Linked DNA regions of Macaca mulatta. The protein of the gene in region 3 interacts with the protein of the main gene of each other region in a pairwise test. Links are inferred from orthologs where the notes say so. Each region holds a gene or a part of one and is shown on either strand. Other genes may lie near its edges.

Region 1 (3,926 bases), on a different chromosome or scaffold from region 3:
CCAGCCCCCGCCCAGTGCGAGTGGGCGGCGCCGCGCGGGGGAGGGTCCGAGGGGCGTCTCCGCCCCGGGACGCGGACACGCGCAGGGACACGCGCAGGCACCCGCGTCACGCGAATCGCCCGGGGCGCACGTAGGGGCTGCTCGGCGGCAGTCGGGAGCCCTGCCTCCGACGCCTTGTGACTGCGTGTCCGGCGGCTCGGTTCGGCTCGACGCGGCGGCGGCGGTGGTCACCCTCCGCCCCAGCCGGGGCCCCGGGGCCAGCGGCAGCTGGTCATTGTTCCAGCACAAAGGGCCACGGCACGGCGGCGGCCGCCCCTCCCCCTCCGCTTCTCCAAGCGAAGCTTCCTTGACACGCTCTCAGCCTCAGAGTCCCAAGCGAGAGAGGTCGACGACCGGCCGTCCCCCACTCTCCGGTGCCGGGGCCCCGCGCCCTAGCGCGAGTCGGAGGCCGAGGCTGTGTCCGCACCTGCCTCACCAGGGGCGGGTTGGAGGCGGCAACCTGGGCTTCGCAGAGGCGGCGCCACCTGGCGGCCCCCTCGGAGAACACACCCAGCCGCCCCCCACCACGCGGGCCCTGACCCACTCCCCGGTACGGTGCCCTTTTCCCCGCGAACCCAGGCCGGCCTCTGGCGCGGCCCCGTGCTCCCCAGCCTCCCCTCGGGACCGCTTGCTAAGACAGAGGTCATTTCTCGGAGAGAAGCGGCCCCTGGCTCCCCAACAATCACTGGGGCAAACCGGTCCAAGCCTACAGCCCAAACCTACAGGAGCCGCACGGCAGACAACATTCCACTTTCTCAAGGTCGCAAATATTCTCACCTTCTCGCACACAATACAGTCTCCCTAACACCCACGCGACCTTTCCCACATGCAGCCTCACCACGCAGCCACAAGCAGTCTCAGCTGTCACGTGGGTCCGCGTTCCTTCTTTCCATAATCTTCCAGTCCAACTCACACACAGACACGGTGTCACAGGCCTGTTGGGCACAGGCTTCCACAACAATCCGCAGTCCTTCGCACCCAGTCACTGTCTCAAATGCACTTAGTCTCCTAACCATCTTTCACGCATTGACAGCCTCTATTCACAGTCACTCACACAGACAACTTCTTACAGCCATGCTTCGCAAATATTCTACCGCACAGCCTTTCCCCTAGGGGTCTCGGTGACCCGGTCAGGTCAGCTGATGCCTGCATCCCTGGGCAAAGACAGCCTTTCTCCCCTAACCACCCCCTCCCCCGCAGGGCCAAGGCCTGCCAGAGCTCGCCCGGGCCCCAGGAAGGAGCATCCCCCCCTTCCAGGCCACAGCCCTGGCCGGCTCTCAGCTCTATTTTTAGCTCCATGGACAGGGTTGTTTTTCTTTCTTTTTCCCTGGAAAGGGAAACACAGCCCAGCCACCCTCAGACTCACCCCAGACCCTCAGCCTCACAAGAACAGACTGAGCCCCTCTCCCCAACAGAGCCCCCTCCTCTGGCCTTGCCCTGATCCCTGCCTCCTGGGGCACCGAGAACCTCCTCCCCTTTCTGGCAGCCTGCCCAGCTCAGGCGGCAGCTGGGCTCAGCGTGTGTGTAGGGGTAGGGGGTGGGGCGGGAAGAAGGCATCGAGCTACTGCCCACTCCCTCATTCCCTGGGGGCAGGGGCTCGTCCTCCTTTTTCTAGGGGTCTAGGCCCACTCTGGTATTGAGGGGGCGTTTACACTCATGCATTTTCTGCGGGGGAGGAGACTCCTACTCCGGCAAGGAGTGGAGGTGAGGGTAGGAAGGGGACCCGCAGGCGCTCAGGCAGCTGCTCTCTGGGCTGGCGGGAATAGGCGGGGGCAGCTGTCCACTGCCATCAAGGGCCTGTCTCCGAAACCTTCGGGGATGCAGATACCAAGAATGTGCTGGGGGAAGGACGTACAGGAGCCCAGGTTAACCCCAGCCCTGCCCAGCAGCCCGGCCCTCCTGCTCCGCCCCGGCTCCAGGGGGCGCTGTGCTCCGGTTCCTGGGAGAGGGCTTATCCCGGCTCCAGGAGGAGAATGGAACGCCGTCCGGCCTGGAACCAAGCAAACGCGCCTCGTGGTGGGGTTGGGGGCACAGGCCACTGGTGTGCGGAGCTGTCACGTGCCCGGCGCCTGTTTACGTCTTCGTCTTCACCTGTGGGCGGCCAGGAAGCAGGAACCTCTGGGTGCGTCCCACCCGGCCCGCCCCCGTCGGCGGTCACGGGGCTGCCCCTTTCCCGCACCCAATGCGCGACCGCAGAGTGCCCTGCCCGCTGTGGGTCCGCGCGGGCTGATTGGCGCTGTCCCTGGGAGTGCAAGGGTAGAAAACTGGGCGCGTCCTTTCCGACTGCATGTGTGTTCGCGTGTCCCAAGTGCGGGCGTGGGTCTGTGCACGCGTGTTTGGGGCCCGTCGGCGTGCGTTTTCGTGTCGCTTCCCTGTTTGGACTCTTCGCGGGCGACCCACCAAGTGCGGACCCCCCTCCTCACTCCACCCCTAGCTTCCCCAGAAGCGGAAAGTTCGTTCAGGAGCGGGGATGTGCGGGAAGCAGGAGTTCCTGCACCTCCGCGGCCCCACCACTCACCCAGCGCCACCTGCGCCTCGGCTCCAGCTCTGGCCCCGCTCCTGCTCCAGCGCGCCCACCTCCTTGCCGCGACAACGCCGCCTCCCTAGCCCGCTCCGAACTCTGGGCTCCGAACTCCGGGCTCCGGGTTCCGGGCTCCCGGCTCCCGGCTCCGGGCTCCCGGCTCCCGGCTCCGGGCGCCCGCCTGGCCTGACCTGGTGGGGCGGGGCGGGGCGGCTCAGGCCGCGCCCCCCACCCAGGGAGGGGAGGGGTCTGTCCCGCACTCCACCAACAGCCTACCCAGTTCCCAGCCCCACAGGGACTCGACGGTGGCCGAGGCTGCCCCTCTGGCCTTCGCCTTCACAGTTTACTGGATTTGGTTTTTGACGTGGGGAAGGGGGCGAGCATCTCGTGACCGATAATTCGACTACCTGGCTGCCTTAAACTAAGCTGCCCTATAGAACTTGACTCTGCCACCCTCCCTGCTCCGTTGGGAGCCCAACCCGGTCCACTCTTGACCCAATCCCCAAATATAGGGAAAACCCCTGGGAATCAGACAAAGGAGGCTCGAGTTTCACCAGAGCAGCTCCCACCTGCCCCCACCATGCACACACCTCAGCGTGGGGCTGCCCAAGCAGAACCAGCACAGCCCCCTCCCTAGAGTAGGTGTCTGCCCAGGTGAGCAGGCCTGCCGGTTCTGACCCCCCACGGGGCATGACTGGGCTTCTCTTAGACTCATAAAATCCTACCCACAGGCACAAACAGGAAGTTGTCCTGTATTGCAGGGAGGCCCCAGGGGCTCCCACCCGCCATGGCACTCAAGGCAGCATGTGGGAAGGTCTTTAGGTATCTGGGCCATATGGGCTGCTGGAGACCTCGGTGAGTTGTTGTTTTTTGAGACGGAGTCCCGCTGTGTCGCCCTGGCTGGAATGCAGCGGGCGCGATCTTGGCTCATTGCAACTTCAGCTTCCAAGGTTCAAGTAATTCTCCTGCCTCAGCCTCCAGAGCAGCTGGGACTAGAGGCATGTGCCACCACGCCACTAAAAATACAAAATACACTAATTTTTGTATTTTTAGTAGAGACGGGGTTTCACCATATTGGCCAGGCTGGTCTCGAACTCCTGACCTCGTGATCCACCCACCTCGGCCTCCAAAAGTGCTGGGATTACAGGTGTGAGCCACCACACCCGGCCGAGCTGTTTATTATTAAACCCATCCACAGCAGAGAGGAAGCTGCTGGAGGACCAAAGCTGCCCCCTCATAGCCAAGTGTGACATACACTATCAGTTAGAGGACAAGGCTGTAGATCCAACTGGACCTGGCTTAGCCAGGCCTTTCCTGAGTTCTCGGGGAAATGTTTTTGAATTTTTTTTTTTCTTCCCAATCCACT
Region 2 (4,138 bases), on a different chromosome or scaffold from region 3:
TCAGACATGGCCCTGAGGAAACACTGGGGGTGCAAGGCGGCCCTCTGGCGATGAAGCCCTGGGTCAGTGGCCCTGACAGGCTTTGCTCGTACCCCACAGGCTTCCCTCAGCTGCCACACTGGACCAGTCAGAAACTGGTGGGCCCTGAGGTCTGACTCGGACATTCCAGCACCTACCCTGCCCCAAGATGGGCAAGCGGAGGCATGACCTCTTGGCTTCCCAAAGGTGCAGGCACACACACCTGCATACACCTCATCACAGAAGCAGGGCAGCTCACCCGACCCCAAGGCCAGGCCCTCCCACCTGCCTCCTCCTGCCCTCTTCACACACACATTATGTTCACATATGCACCCGGGTGCACAACGCCCGCGCGCGCGCGCACACACACACACGCGCACACACACACACACACACAGTGAAATTCACCCCACCCAGGGTCCCGGAACAGCTGCTGTGGTGCTTGGCCATTACATCATAGAGGGAGGAAAACAAAGGCAAACTCCTGTTGCCCACTGAGAAAGGATGTGGCTAGAGGGAATGGAATTGCATGAATGCCAGAAAAAAGGAAACTAGAGGAGGGTGAGAGGTGGGAAAGCAACAGGAAGATTGTGAGAAAGAAGAGCAGTACACAAAAAGCTCAGAGGGAGGACCAGAGGCCTGTCCCTCCACCCAAACATGAAGGACTTGCTGGGCGCCCGTGTCACCGGCTGCCCCTGCCTTCCTATAGTCAACACACACTCACACACACACACACATTCACTCACAGCCCCACACACACTCACTCACACACACACTCACACGTAGGGAGCAGCACATATCTGAGCAAAGTACCATGGTGACAGTGAGTGCATCCTCTGCACACAGCCAGGGAGGCAGCCGCACGCAGTAGTTACCAAGATTTTTAATGTGCTCTTCAACTCATTGCACTAAAGAAATATGAGCATCCTCAGATATTCAAACCACTTATTCTCTGTAGTGAAACCTTTGGGAAGATGTGGGAGAAATTGTGTTCTGTATCCGGCACTCACATTCCTCCCCATTACTCCCCTCAACCCCCATCTCCCGAATACACAGCTTCAGCATGAGGTGCCTCTGTGGGGCTTGGTTATCTGGGCTGAGTGTGCTCAGGCCTTGGCGAGCCTGCCCGGCAGCCCCTGGGCCACCCAGGCTAGTGTGACTGAACACAGGGCTCAGCGTCACTGATCCCTGACCCCCACCTCCCGCTCTTGGCTTCGCTTGTTGCCAGCTGCGCCACGTCGGCTAAGGCACCCACATCAGTGCCTTGGGTAATAGATTCTGGGGGAGAAGTCGAGGACTAAATGCCATGGAAAACACCTTCCAGGAGGTCTTCTCACCCTGACCCAAAGCTCCAACAGGAGGTTTTTGATGAACCCCACCCCAGAATGAAAAATCTCACAGTCTTAAGAGCTAATAGTGTCAGGCACTGTCCTGAGGACGTGATGCATAAATAGACTTATTTAAAGTTAATAAAAACCTCCTGAGGTAGGGACTATTACTGTGAACCCCATTTTACAGATAAACAAACTGAGGCACAGAGAAGTTAAGCAACCTTCCCAAGAGCACACCGCCAATAAGTACATTCAAATTCAGGCAGAGTCTGGACTCAACCATCACACGAAACTGCCTCTTTCTTGATCATGTTTCCATATAAAGTGACGACACTGACTGAGCCTGGCTGTGCCTCCTGCCAGAAGCAACTCTTGCAAGCCTCAAAGGCCCTTGAAGCAGGCTGTGTAAACACAGCCATGGAGATGCTTCTAGATGTGGACACGAACCTAAAAGCACCTGCTCTGAAAGTTGTGGTAATGTTACGACCACATGCCCTGAAGTGCTAATATATCAGGACAGAAAGAAAGAGCAAATCTTTCTGTTGCTCTTTGGAGCAGCAAAGGAGATCTGCAGGACTCCTTTGTCAACCACCCTGGAGAAATATGGCCCAAAGCCTCTGGCTCCTCACCCCTGCCCCATGCAGAGATCAAATGAGGCCTAGAGGCTGGACCTCCGGCAGTGATGGGCCACTGATCAGAAGGGGGAGCTCAACAAGGGGCATCCTCTCAGCTCCAGGACTTACCTGCCCCTCCCAGAGTGGACTCTCCACCCTCCCTGGCCTACCCCGCTGCAAACTTCCCCCTCACTGCATGGGGAGAGGCAGAGACAGGCCAGGGCCACGACAGGGACCGTTCTGACTTACTTGAAGAAGTCCTCCTTGCAGTAGACGCTCCCGGCCCTGGAGAAGCACCTGTCCGCCAGCTGCATCTGGCAGTCTGCACACTTGAGGCAGGAGCTGTGCCAGTGTCTGTCCAGGACCTTCAGGATGAACTTGTCCAGGATGTGCTGGTTGCAGCCAGCACACTGGGGGATCTCTGTGAGGAAGAGGAGAGAGAGGTACTGTGAGCCTTCCACACAGCCCTGCTAACCAGGCCAGGCCCTGGCAGTTGCCTTCCCATTCTGCTGGTGGTGGAAACAGACATGGCCCAAACCACAGAGCTGTTGCATGTAGTTGCACAGGTTGTACACTGCACACAAAGGTGCATGGTCAAGGGACAAGTGGGGACTGAAAGCCAACCCTTGCTTTGCTGGCCAGGCTGTGTATTCTGGCTTGGGGTGACTTTGGCCCAGAGGAGTCATCCGTTTCTAAGGGCACCACAAGGCTAGCCGCAGAAGCTAAGCCATTTATGTCAGCTGCAGTTCCACAGCCAACAGGCCAGGAAGGCTCAGCAACATCCACCTCTGTTTCCACGACATTTTCACAAGTGATTGGAAGCTCTGCTAAAAACATCAGCCCCCAAAATAAGCCCTGCCTAGGCCTGGACTAAAAGGCCATCTGTCCTGAAAAGCAAATGATAAATACGGTGTGGGGGAGGGGGTGGGCAGTGATCGAGGTCCAGGCCTGAGGGTGCTCTTGTAGAGAAAATCTCAATATTTTAATGAACTGCAACCGATACCATAGATCGGCTGGATCAATACCTCATCCTAATGTGCCTTCCTGTGCTGCAGATAGGAAAGCTAGAAACTGCTTTTCCAGATGCCCTTGTGGCTCACATTTTGAAGATGATTGAGTCTTCCAATCAAACGCTCTTGGGAGAGACTTGAATTCAAAACTGAGCTAAATGTCAAGACAGTTGAGGGACAGGCTCCCCTTGTGCTGATGTGCGTCATGGCGGAGGCGATGAGGTGCCGTGTTGGGTGTTGCACTGTCCTGCTCAGTCACGGCAGAGGCAGTGCAATTCGGGGGGCTGAGAGTTATCCTGGAAGCTCCACCCAGCGGGCTCCACTGAGTTGAAAGCCACCTGCCACCTGATGATTAATCACTTTTCACTTAAATAGTGAAAGTGGACTCTGTTGTCTGCAACGGAACCCTAACCACCACCCCATCTGGTTCCTGTCCTGGGTGACTTCCTATCTGAGGTCTGTTTCTCCGCCATCCCATCTTTCCAAGAGATTGCTTGGGCATTTGATAGTATTTTGAGTCACTGACTGTTTCAAAATCTACAAAATGGTCAGGTTTCCATGGTTGGATGAACAAACAGTGCTAGGATCGCTAGCCATTTTCCCCTGTGCTTTTCAAAAAAAGAAGGTGACAAATCAACAAGTACTAAGAACAAAAACATAAAAGTGCAAGCGTTTGGCCTCCTAGAGTATCCTCCTGACACAGCACTCGCAAGGCTGGAAACCCCAGGGTTCCCATCCCTATTATAAAAGACACCTTTGCTCGTTGTTCGTCTAAACACTCACTGCCTAGCGTGGTGCCTGGCACACAAGGGTAACGCCACGGATGTTTATCACTAAATAATAAATTGATCAAATCCTGTCTGAGAAGCTCACCTTGAAACAGTTTTTCACTAGTTTCTCCTGTACACTCCAAAATGTCAACAGCAGTAAAACCAAATCTCTCATGAATCATACATGGTTTTTTGTTTTGTTTTGTTTTGTTTTGAGACGGATTTTCGCTCTGTTGACCAGCCTGGAGTGCAGCGGTACAATCTCGGCTCACTGCAACCTCCACCTCTTGGGTTCAAGCGATTCTCCTGCCTCAGCCTCCTGAGTAGCTGGGATTACAGGTGCGTGCCACCACACCTGGCTACTTTTTGTATTTTTAGTAGTAATGGGTTTCACT
Region 3 (3,500 bases):
CACAGCACCCAGCCCTTCTGTCCATATGCTTGCCTGTGCATCTGTCCACCTGCCACTACCCATGTATCCACCCACCCACCTATCCCACCACCCACCCATCCATCCATCCATCCATTCATCCATGCAATCAGCAGGTCAGCTCCCGTTGTGGGAGGCACGTGGCAGGGGATCTAGAGATAGGATTTCGTTTTCCTCCTCTGAGAGCTTGCCACCTAATGGGCACACTAATAACTACAGAAAGGCAGATGTCATCAGTGCCCCAAGAGAGGCGCGTTCAGAGATTAGTTGCGAGCAAGGCCATGCCAGCCCTTGGTCAGTCTCCAGCAGAGCCTCTTCTCTCATTCCAGCTGAGGCAGGGCTGGAATAGAGGTATTGGATTGTCTCAAGCCCTAGATAAAAATTTCTCCACTACTTTCTCCAAAGCCAGATGATAAGCCTTGCTGTCTGATACCCTAGTCCTGAGCATGCCAGTGTCACTCAGAGGAGAGTCCCTCTTCCCCTAATGTCTTATGTCCAAATATAAAGCCAGGCCTCGGGGCTAGGGAATAAAACCTGCACAAGAGGGGAGATGTAACCGCAGCAAGGACGCCCTCCTGCTACTGGGTGCACTGGTGGTCTGGGGCCCCCGCATCCAGCCCAGGTCGGGGCAGGGCCTGCAGGAGGCACTGGCATCTCAGATGGAAAAGGAGAAGGTGAGAAGAGTGGTTCACTGGGGGCAGCGGAGCATTCCTGAGAACACTACTGGACTGTCCTCGAGTGCACAGGCCCTGAGTGGGCTTTCTAGGCAGAGCAGGAAAGCCCCTCCCCTCGGCACGGAGCCCCAGGGGCACCAGACGTGCTGGGATGACCTCTCTTGTTTGTCTCCACCAGGAGCAGCCACCGGCTGCCGTCAATCATCAGTCAGGTTGGGAGTCAAGCCCTCAGCCTGGCTGTTCTGCAACAGTGGCTGCCTCCCCAGCCCATCCCCGGTCCCCAAGGGTAAACTCACCATGCTGTCTCTCCCCGGGGAGCTGGAGCGGCTGGGCCCAGGGGCCTGACCCTTTCCCTTCTCCCACAGCGTGTAGCGGCCAATGGGTCGGAAGGTTGGGCTGAGGATTTCAGGGACTCGTGAAGGAGGGGTCTGGGAGGGCACCTGAGATGCACTGCCCTTGCGACCATAGTTCTCCAGGTAGTCCACCAGGTACTCAGGGCGGCTGGCTGCCTGGTAGAGCCCCTGCAGGGTGCAGAGCTCCTTGCGCGTCCGGGCCAGCATGGGGCTGCGACCCAGGTTCCCGGGGTCTATCCGGTAGTTATCTGAGGTCCGGAGGCTGGAGAAATCCCGGGCCAGGTCTGATTGGCTGTCCGACTTCTGGGTTAGGGTCACCCCCTGGTCATAGGCATTCATGGGCAGGTAGCTGAGGCAGTTGTTGCTCACTCCATAAGGGAATCCACTGCCCCCACTGAGGCCACTGCCTGAAGGCCGCTCAGTACCCCGGGTCTGGCTCTCTGCCCGCTTACCTCCCCCAGTGATGTTGGGTCTCAGCAGGGGGCGGCCCCGGTCATAGTCCAGGATGGAGGAGGGGCCATAGGTACGGGGACGGGTGAGGAAGCTGCTGGCGGGGACCGGCTTGAAACCAAATTTCTCTTTCTCCAGTAAGGAGGCAGCCAGGTTGGCCCCATAGGAGGAGGGGGTATAGGCACCATAGCCCGACTTGGAATAGTGGGCATCTGTGTAGCGGGCTGATTCTGTGTAGCGCTTCAGGGTGGAGGAGAGCTGGGACATCCTTCAGGGTCGCACTCAGTGGGGACTGGGAGCCTCATGGGCTGAAAGACAAGGAGAGTAGTTGTCAGAGGGCCCTGCCAGGTGTCGGGCTCCCACAGACCCGCTCCCCATCCCTAGCTGGGCCAGAACCTAAGAGCTCCCAGTCCATTTCCACAAGAGACAGGCTGGCTGCTGAGAAACACACATGCACACAGGTGTGCACACGGGCTTGCTTGCACCTGTGTGTTCACGCCTCAGTGAGAGTGCAAGGGATGAGGTGGCTTTTATATGCCACACAGGGAATCAGCGCATCCTGGCCATTCAAAGACTCAAACACACAAGCAGGGGCTACCCGACGTCCACAGCCCACCAAGCCGTGCAGTCTTCCAGCTCAAATCCCATTGCCTCAGCAACTGCAGAAACTCTTGAGCTGGGGGGATGCCACAGACCCCTGGGTTGAGAATGCTGGATATTTCAGGAGTTAAGACCACTTCTGTCCCTTCTGACTTATGTGATGAGCAGGTGTCTTTTTGGAAACCTAGACTGTGCTGGAATGACCTGAAGATCATTTGGTCAGATCCCCTGTGGGGCCAAGGAGGCTCAGGAGAGGAAGTAATGGGGTGTGGGTGGGCAGGGGAGGCCGTGAGTGAGCATGCAACAGCGAGGGGCCAGAACGTGGTCTCCAGACCTTTTCCCCAGACACCAGCATCTGCTGCTGGTCCCACAGTGAGGGACACTCGTGAAGTAGAACCCACTCATGTCACTGAGCTAAGCTTCTGTTCTAAGTGGAGTTAGGGCCCTGGGCCTCCCAAGAGTTCCTCTACCAACACAGGGTTCCTCTACCGACATGGATCCGGATCCCAAATTGGTCCTGGTGATGTTTGTGCAAAGGGGGCCCCCTACAGTCCCAAATCTTGCACTGCACGTGGCATTCCCAGTCCTTCCCTGTTCCAGTCCAGCAGCTGGGGAGGGTCTAGTGAAGGAACTGCTGAATGTGGAGCTTTGAAAGCCCCAGAGGATCATGAATTTTAATCTATCTGTTGTACAGATGGGAAAAGTGGTGCTTATTTCTCCCCAGCCACACACCAGCAGAGCCAGGACTGGAATCCAGGTCTTTGAAATCCTGGCCAGTGTTCTTTCCACTTAACCTTGAGTTACCACCCCCTCATCAGATTTAGGGTCAGTTGGGGACCCCCGGAGGCCTTCCATTGCCGTAAACATGCAGCCTGTATCCAATAGAGCTGGAGTGGCAGAGGAGCAAGTAGGGTCAGAAGCCTGTCCTCAAGGGCATCAGGGGCTCTTGGGGGGCTCTCTAGGGGGACGGAAGCAGAGCCATCCAGGACTCTCAGAGTGGTGGGACTTGCCCTGTGATAGACTAGCTGGGTGATTTTGCACTAATCATGTAACCTCTCTGAGCCCCAACTTCCTCATCTGTAAATGAGTAAAACCACCATCCTCATAATTCCTACCTCACAGGGCTGTTGTGAGGAATAAATGAGATAACAACACGTGAAGGGCTCCACAATGACAGTGGTTACCATCTCCTCCCCGAGCTACTGCGAGGCAGCCTGGCTCTGCCCTCTGTAGGTCTATGATAATATCAGGGCTGGCTGTCTCCCAGCCTGGCCAGCCTCTAGCCTCAGCTTGGGACACCAGGCCTCCCCATGCAGCCCCCAGCGAGAGAAGCAGGCAGTGGGCAGACATCTGGCCACTCAGCAGACACTGGCTGGGCAACCCAGCCCATCAGGGCAGAGAGGAG
Region 4 (4,292 bases), on a different chromosome or scaffold from region 3:
CTGCAGTAAGCCGTAATCGTTCCATTGCACTCCAGCCTGGGTGACAAAAATGAGACCCTGTCTCCAAAAAAATGAAAACAAAAATCAGATTATTTACAAATAATAAAATTTGCTACCACTGCAGATACTCAAATAACAGTTTCAGGGACTGTGTTACAGTCTGTTCAGTTTGCTTCAAGTTACACTGGGAGGATGTGTTCACTGTTATTTGAAACTATATAATTAGAGATTTTCACGCTATAGAAAGTTAGCCAATATAGAAAACACATTGCTAAAACAATGCTCTAATGGTACATCCACAATTTTCTGAAGCTAGAATGAAGATAGATAATTATGTATTATTGGCAGGGCGCGGTGGCTCATGCCTGTAATCCCAGCACTTTGGGAGGCTGAGGCGGGCAGATCACGAGGTGAGGAGTTCGAGACCAGCCTGACCAACATGGTGAAACCCTGTCTCTATTAAAAATACAAAAACTGGCAGGGCATGATGGCACGCACCTGTAATCCCAGCTACTCAGGAGACTGAGCAAGACAATCGCTTGAACCTGGGAGGTGGAGGTTGCAGTGAGCCGAGATCGTGCCACTGCACTTCAGCCTGGGCGGCAGAGGGAGATTCCATCAAAAAAAAAAAAAAAAAAATTATTATTCTCTGCCCACCCCCACCCCATCTTTATTTAACATCAGGTCTCAATATGGACAGAGTCTCAAAAGCATGACAATTTTTACGGAAAGCATTATCATACAATGTATGACCTTCAGAAACCTAGCAACAATCAACTCGTTTGAATTGAAAACAGCCTGTCCAAAATGCCTTTTATTTACAAGGAAATTACTCTTTGCATAATGGTAAGAAAATCTATTTTCAATATTGTTTCTGGTTAACAGTTCTAAGATGGACTAATGACGCTGGAGTAATTACATGTTGGTATGTTGGTAATACATGCCTTTTTACCGAAATTCTACTGCTCTCAAAGGTGACATTTACAGAATTTTTAACTCTTCGAAGTTGATCATAAACATGGTCTCTCTTTGATTCTATCAGACTTCTTTTTCTACTTTATGGAGTGCTCAGAAACTTACGTCAGAAGTAATTTTAAGCTTTAGTAACCAAATTTATCTCAGCATGGTTTACAATGAAAATACGTTGTTTTGCAGATCTCATGAAAGCAGGATCTAAGTTTTACTAAGGTTCCTACTTATTTTAAGCTCCTTATCCAACTTCAATCTATTTAATTTAAAAAAAAATCAAAACAACTACAGTTTCAGAAGATTTAACAACTTCCATCTGGATCAAGTCAACCTCTAACCAGGGCTGGCCAAAGGTTTTGTTTCTCATGCACTCTAATTTTAAATAACAATAATTTTAATAATAATTTAGAAGAGATACTTCACTTGGTTCCCCTTTACTTCTCTTCAGGCCATGACTTAACGCTGCATTGTGCCCATCAACTTCATGATTTAGCAAAGACATTACCCTGTCTTTTAAGCACATTAAGAGCAACACAGTTTAGCTGACACAATGTTAACCAGCAACTCCTGAACAAGCTTCACAGTAAGATTTTTCTCATGACTGAGCAGCAGTTTTTATCCTAGGTGAGTTTGCTCAAAAATAATTGAGTAAGTAATCAACCAGCTTCTGGCATACCTTTGGCAAGTCACATTTTCTGCCTTGTTTTCTAGCTGAGAAGGGTATAAAAATCCCACGAAAAGAAACCAGAACTCCGAGCCTAGAAATGTAAATTATGATCCAAGCTAAGCCACTCACCAGTTGATTGAACCTAAGTATAAATCAATTACCCCCATTCCAGCTCCATTTCTCCATCGAAATGGCGATAACATAATCAGCTGCAACCACAAGGTGATGCGGTTTGAAAGAGATAGGAAGAGAGTTCTGAAGCGTGTAAAGGTGCTACGTAAATAGAACGTAATAATTAGTAGGGATAGAACTTTCACCTGCTTTGCAAAACTTAAAGGGTCATCTCGTGGCTTACAGCTCGAAAAGAGTCGAGCACAGGTAACCCGAGCCCGTTCGTGACACTTTCCCGAACTCCAAGGGGAGGATGATTAGCAGTTCTGGGCGGGAGTCAGGGGAATGCCAATCCGAGCCCAACGTGGGCTGCTCGCGCTCTCGCCCCCCATGGGAGAGACGCACTGAGAGATCGAAATGCAACCCCGCTTCAAGACACCCTCGCAAATGAAGGAATTTCAGGGAGGGGGTAGGAGGCGGCAGGCTGGGCGCGCCGCTGCCACCTCCGACTGGGCCACTCCTTGCGCCGCCAGCGCCCCAGCCCACGGTGCCACGTCCCGGCCTCCGTCACCGCCAGCCCTCACCCCACCCGGAACGGGGCACATCCTCCGGAGGCCACAGGGATCGTTCCCTTGCAGGCGCCCCTGGGGGGACCACACGTCGGACCAGGGAAGGGAGGGGACAGTTAGAGCGGTTGGAACAGTTGTCCCTGGGCTGGCCGCCCCAGAAGCCGGCCCGGCCCGGCCCGCCCCGGCGGAGCCTCAGACACGGCCCCGGGCCGGGAAGGCTCCCCAAGGGCAGGCCTCGGCGCCGCCGGCCCAGCGCAGCCCCTTAGGGAGAGGTCCCGCGGTGCAGGCTCACCTCCAATGTGTCAAAAGCGCATGTTCGCCGCCGCTCGACCCACGTCTCCGCTCCGCTGGCCTGGCCAGGCCCGCCCAGCCGCTCGGCTCAGCTCCCCTCCGCAGCCCCGAGCTCCACTCCGCGCACCTCCGCTCCCGGCTCCTCCCCGACACGTCAGGGACTGCCTGGGTGTCCGAGGCCATTCTGTGACGCACGGGGGCGGGGCTCGGAGCATGCGCGGCAGCCCGCGGGTATGCGGGGCGGGGCGGGGCGGGGCTGGTGCCACAGGGGGCGGGCCAGAGCCCGGCGCGCTGACGTCAAGCTGACGGCGTCCTTTTGCGCAGGCGTTCTTGGACTCTGAGACCGGCTGGTTATGGCTTCAGCAGCTCCCTGAAACTGCTATTCGGGAGAGTGGTTCCAAGACGGATGGGAACGTGCCTTCAGTTTTCCGGCCACCAAGGCCCTTCAAGTGTCCATGTGTCAGTGTTCCCGTTTATAAAACGAATCTCGGCTCATAGTTCACCTCCGAGTCCATTCCCCCTGCCTGAACACCCAATGGAACACCAGGGGCATTCTAAGCATCACTGCCACAAAGCTCTGTGTTGTTTTTACAGCACTTGCACTGCTTACATTTTGTATTTGTTCTCATCTTCCTCCAGTAGAATTCTAAGTTCTATGAGAGCTAGAACCTTTTATGCCTTGCTCATCCCAACAGATAACTTGGTTCTAGGCAAAGTGGACGCTCAAATATTTGATGAATGAATGGATTCGTTGGCACCAAGGGGATTTTATATTTGCCCATTTATATATTGTATATATAAATATATTTATATATTGTATATATCTGAGCATATATTCATTTTTGTATACATGCGTGTACATGTGTGTATGGGTGTGACTTTCTCCCCTCCAAGGCCCCTAAGAAATGGAGTCCTACATTTATATATGTATAATAACATATATTATGTATTTTATAAAATATATATAACATATTTTATATAATATATAACATATATCTATAAAATATATATTATATATTATATATTTTATATAATATACATTATTATATATAATATATAATTTCACAAATTTATAATTTCACAAATTTATATATTATATATAATTTTATATATTATATATTATATAAGAGATACATTTTAAAAACAATTTTAAGAACTTTGCTGTATATTATATGTATTATAATATGTAATATATTATACAATTATGTATTATATATTATATAATATATACTATATACATTATAGTATATACATTATATATTAGATATATACCTCTTACAATCCATTTTGCTTTTTTTTTTTGAAACGGAATTTTGCTCTTGTTGCCCAGGCTGGAGTGCAGCAGTGCGATCTCAGCTCACTGCCTCCCAGGTTCAAGCGAATCTCCTGCCTCAGCCTCCCAAGTAATTGAGATTACAGGCGCCTGCCACCACGCCCGGCTAATTTTTGTATTTTTAGTATATTTTTAGTAGAGACGGGGTTTCACCATGTTGGCCAGGCTGCTCTCGAACTCCTGATCCGCCTGCCTCGGCCTCCCAAAGTTTTGGGATTACAGGCGTGAGACACCGCACCCTGCCCCATCTTGCATTATTAATGTTTATATATATTTTAGTATATAAATACACACGTATGTGTGTGTGTATGTGCGCGTGTGTATTCCCTAGTGGACCTGGAAGCACTCTGGA

Evidence for each region.
Region 1: the proteins of USP2 (region 3) and LZTS2 interact in binary tests that used the Homo sapiens proteins (3 or more experiments, as listed by UniProt). The two-hybrid records come from large-scale screens. The link is inferred for Macaca mulatta from reciprocal best matches to the Homo sapiens genes USP2 and LZTS2.
Region 2: the proteins of USP2 (region 3) and LHX4 interact in binary tests that used the Homo sapiens proteins (3 or more experiments, as listed by UniProt). The two-hybrid records come from large-scale screens. The link is inferred for Macaca mulatta from reciprocal best matches to the Homo sapiens genes USP2 and LHX4.
Region 4: the proteins of USP2 (region 3) and NDEL1 interact in binary tests that used the Homo sapiens proteins (3 or more experiments, as listed by UniProt). The two-hybrid records come from large-scale screens. The link is inferred for Macaca mulatta from reciprocal best matches to the Homo sapiens genes USP2 and NDEL1.

What each region holds. Positions count from the first base shown.
Region 1 is NC_133414.1:113,059,452-113,063,377, reverse strand, and holds the start of LZTS2 (leucine zipper putative tumor suppressor 2), read right to left. Parts: upstream 2,801-3,926; 5' UTR 2,558-2,800; intron 2,162-2,557; exon of another isoform or gene 1,895-2,161; intron 1,247-1,894; exon of another isoform or gene 817-1,246; intron 1-816. UniProt on the Homo sapiens protein: Negative regulator of katanin-mediated microtubule severing and release from the centrosome. Required for central spindle formation and the completion of cytokinesis.
Region 2 is NC_133406.1:37,656,736-37,660,873, reverse strand, and holds the start of LHX4 (LIM/homeobox protein Lhx4), read right to left. Parts: upstream 2,801-4,138; coding exon 2,588-2,800; intron 2,434-2,587; coding exon 2,213-2,433; intron 1-2,212. UniProt on the Homo sapiens protein: May play a critical role in the development of respiratory control mechanisms and in the normal growth and maturation of the lung. Binds preferentially to methylated DNA.
Region 3 is NC_133419.1:120,062,374-120,065,873, forward strand, and holds part of USP2 (ubiquitin carboxyl-terminal hydrolase 2), read right to left. Parts: intron 1,804-3,500; 5' UTR 1,763-1,803; coding exon 989-1,762; intron 1-988. UniProt on the Homo sapiens protein: Hydrolase that deubiquitinates polyubiquitinated target proteins such as MDM2, MDM4 and CCND1. Isoform 1 and isoform 4 possess both ubiquitin-specific peptidase and isopeptidase activities.
Region 4 is NC_133421.1:9,937,864-9,942,155, reverse strand, and holds the start of NDEL1 (nuclear distribution protein nudE-like 1), read right to left. Parts: upstream 2,801-4,292; 5' UTR 2,791-2,800; coding exon 2,701-2,790; exon of another isoform or gene 2,669-2,700; coding exon 2,609-2,668; intron 1-2,608. UniProt on the Homo sapiens protein: Required for organization of the cellular microtubule array and microtubule anchoring at the centrosome. May regulate microtubule organization at least in part by targeting the microtubule severing protein KATNA1 to the centrosome.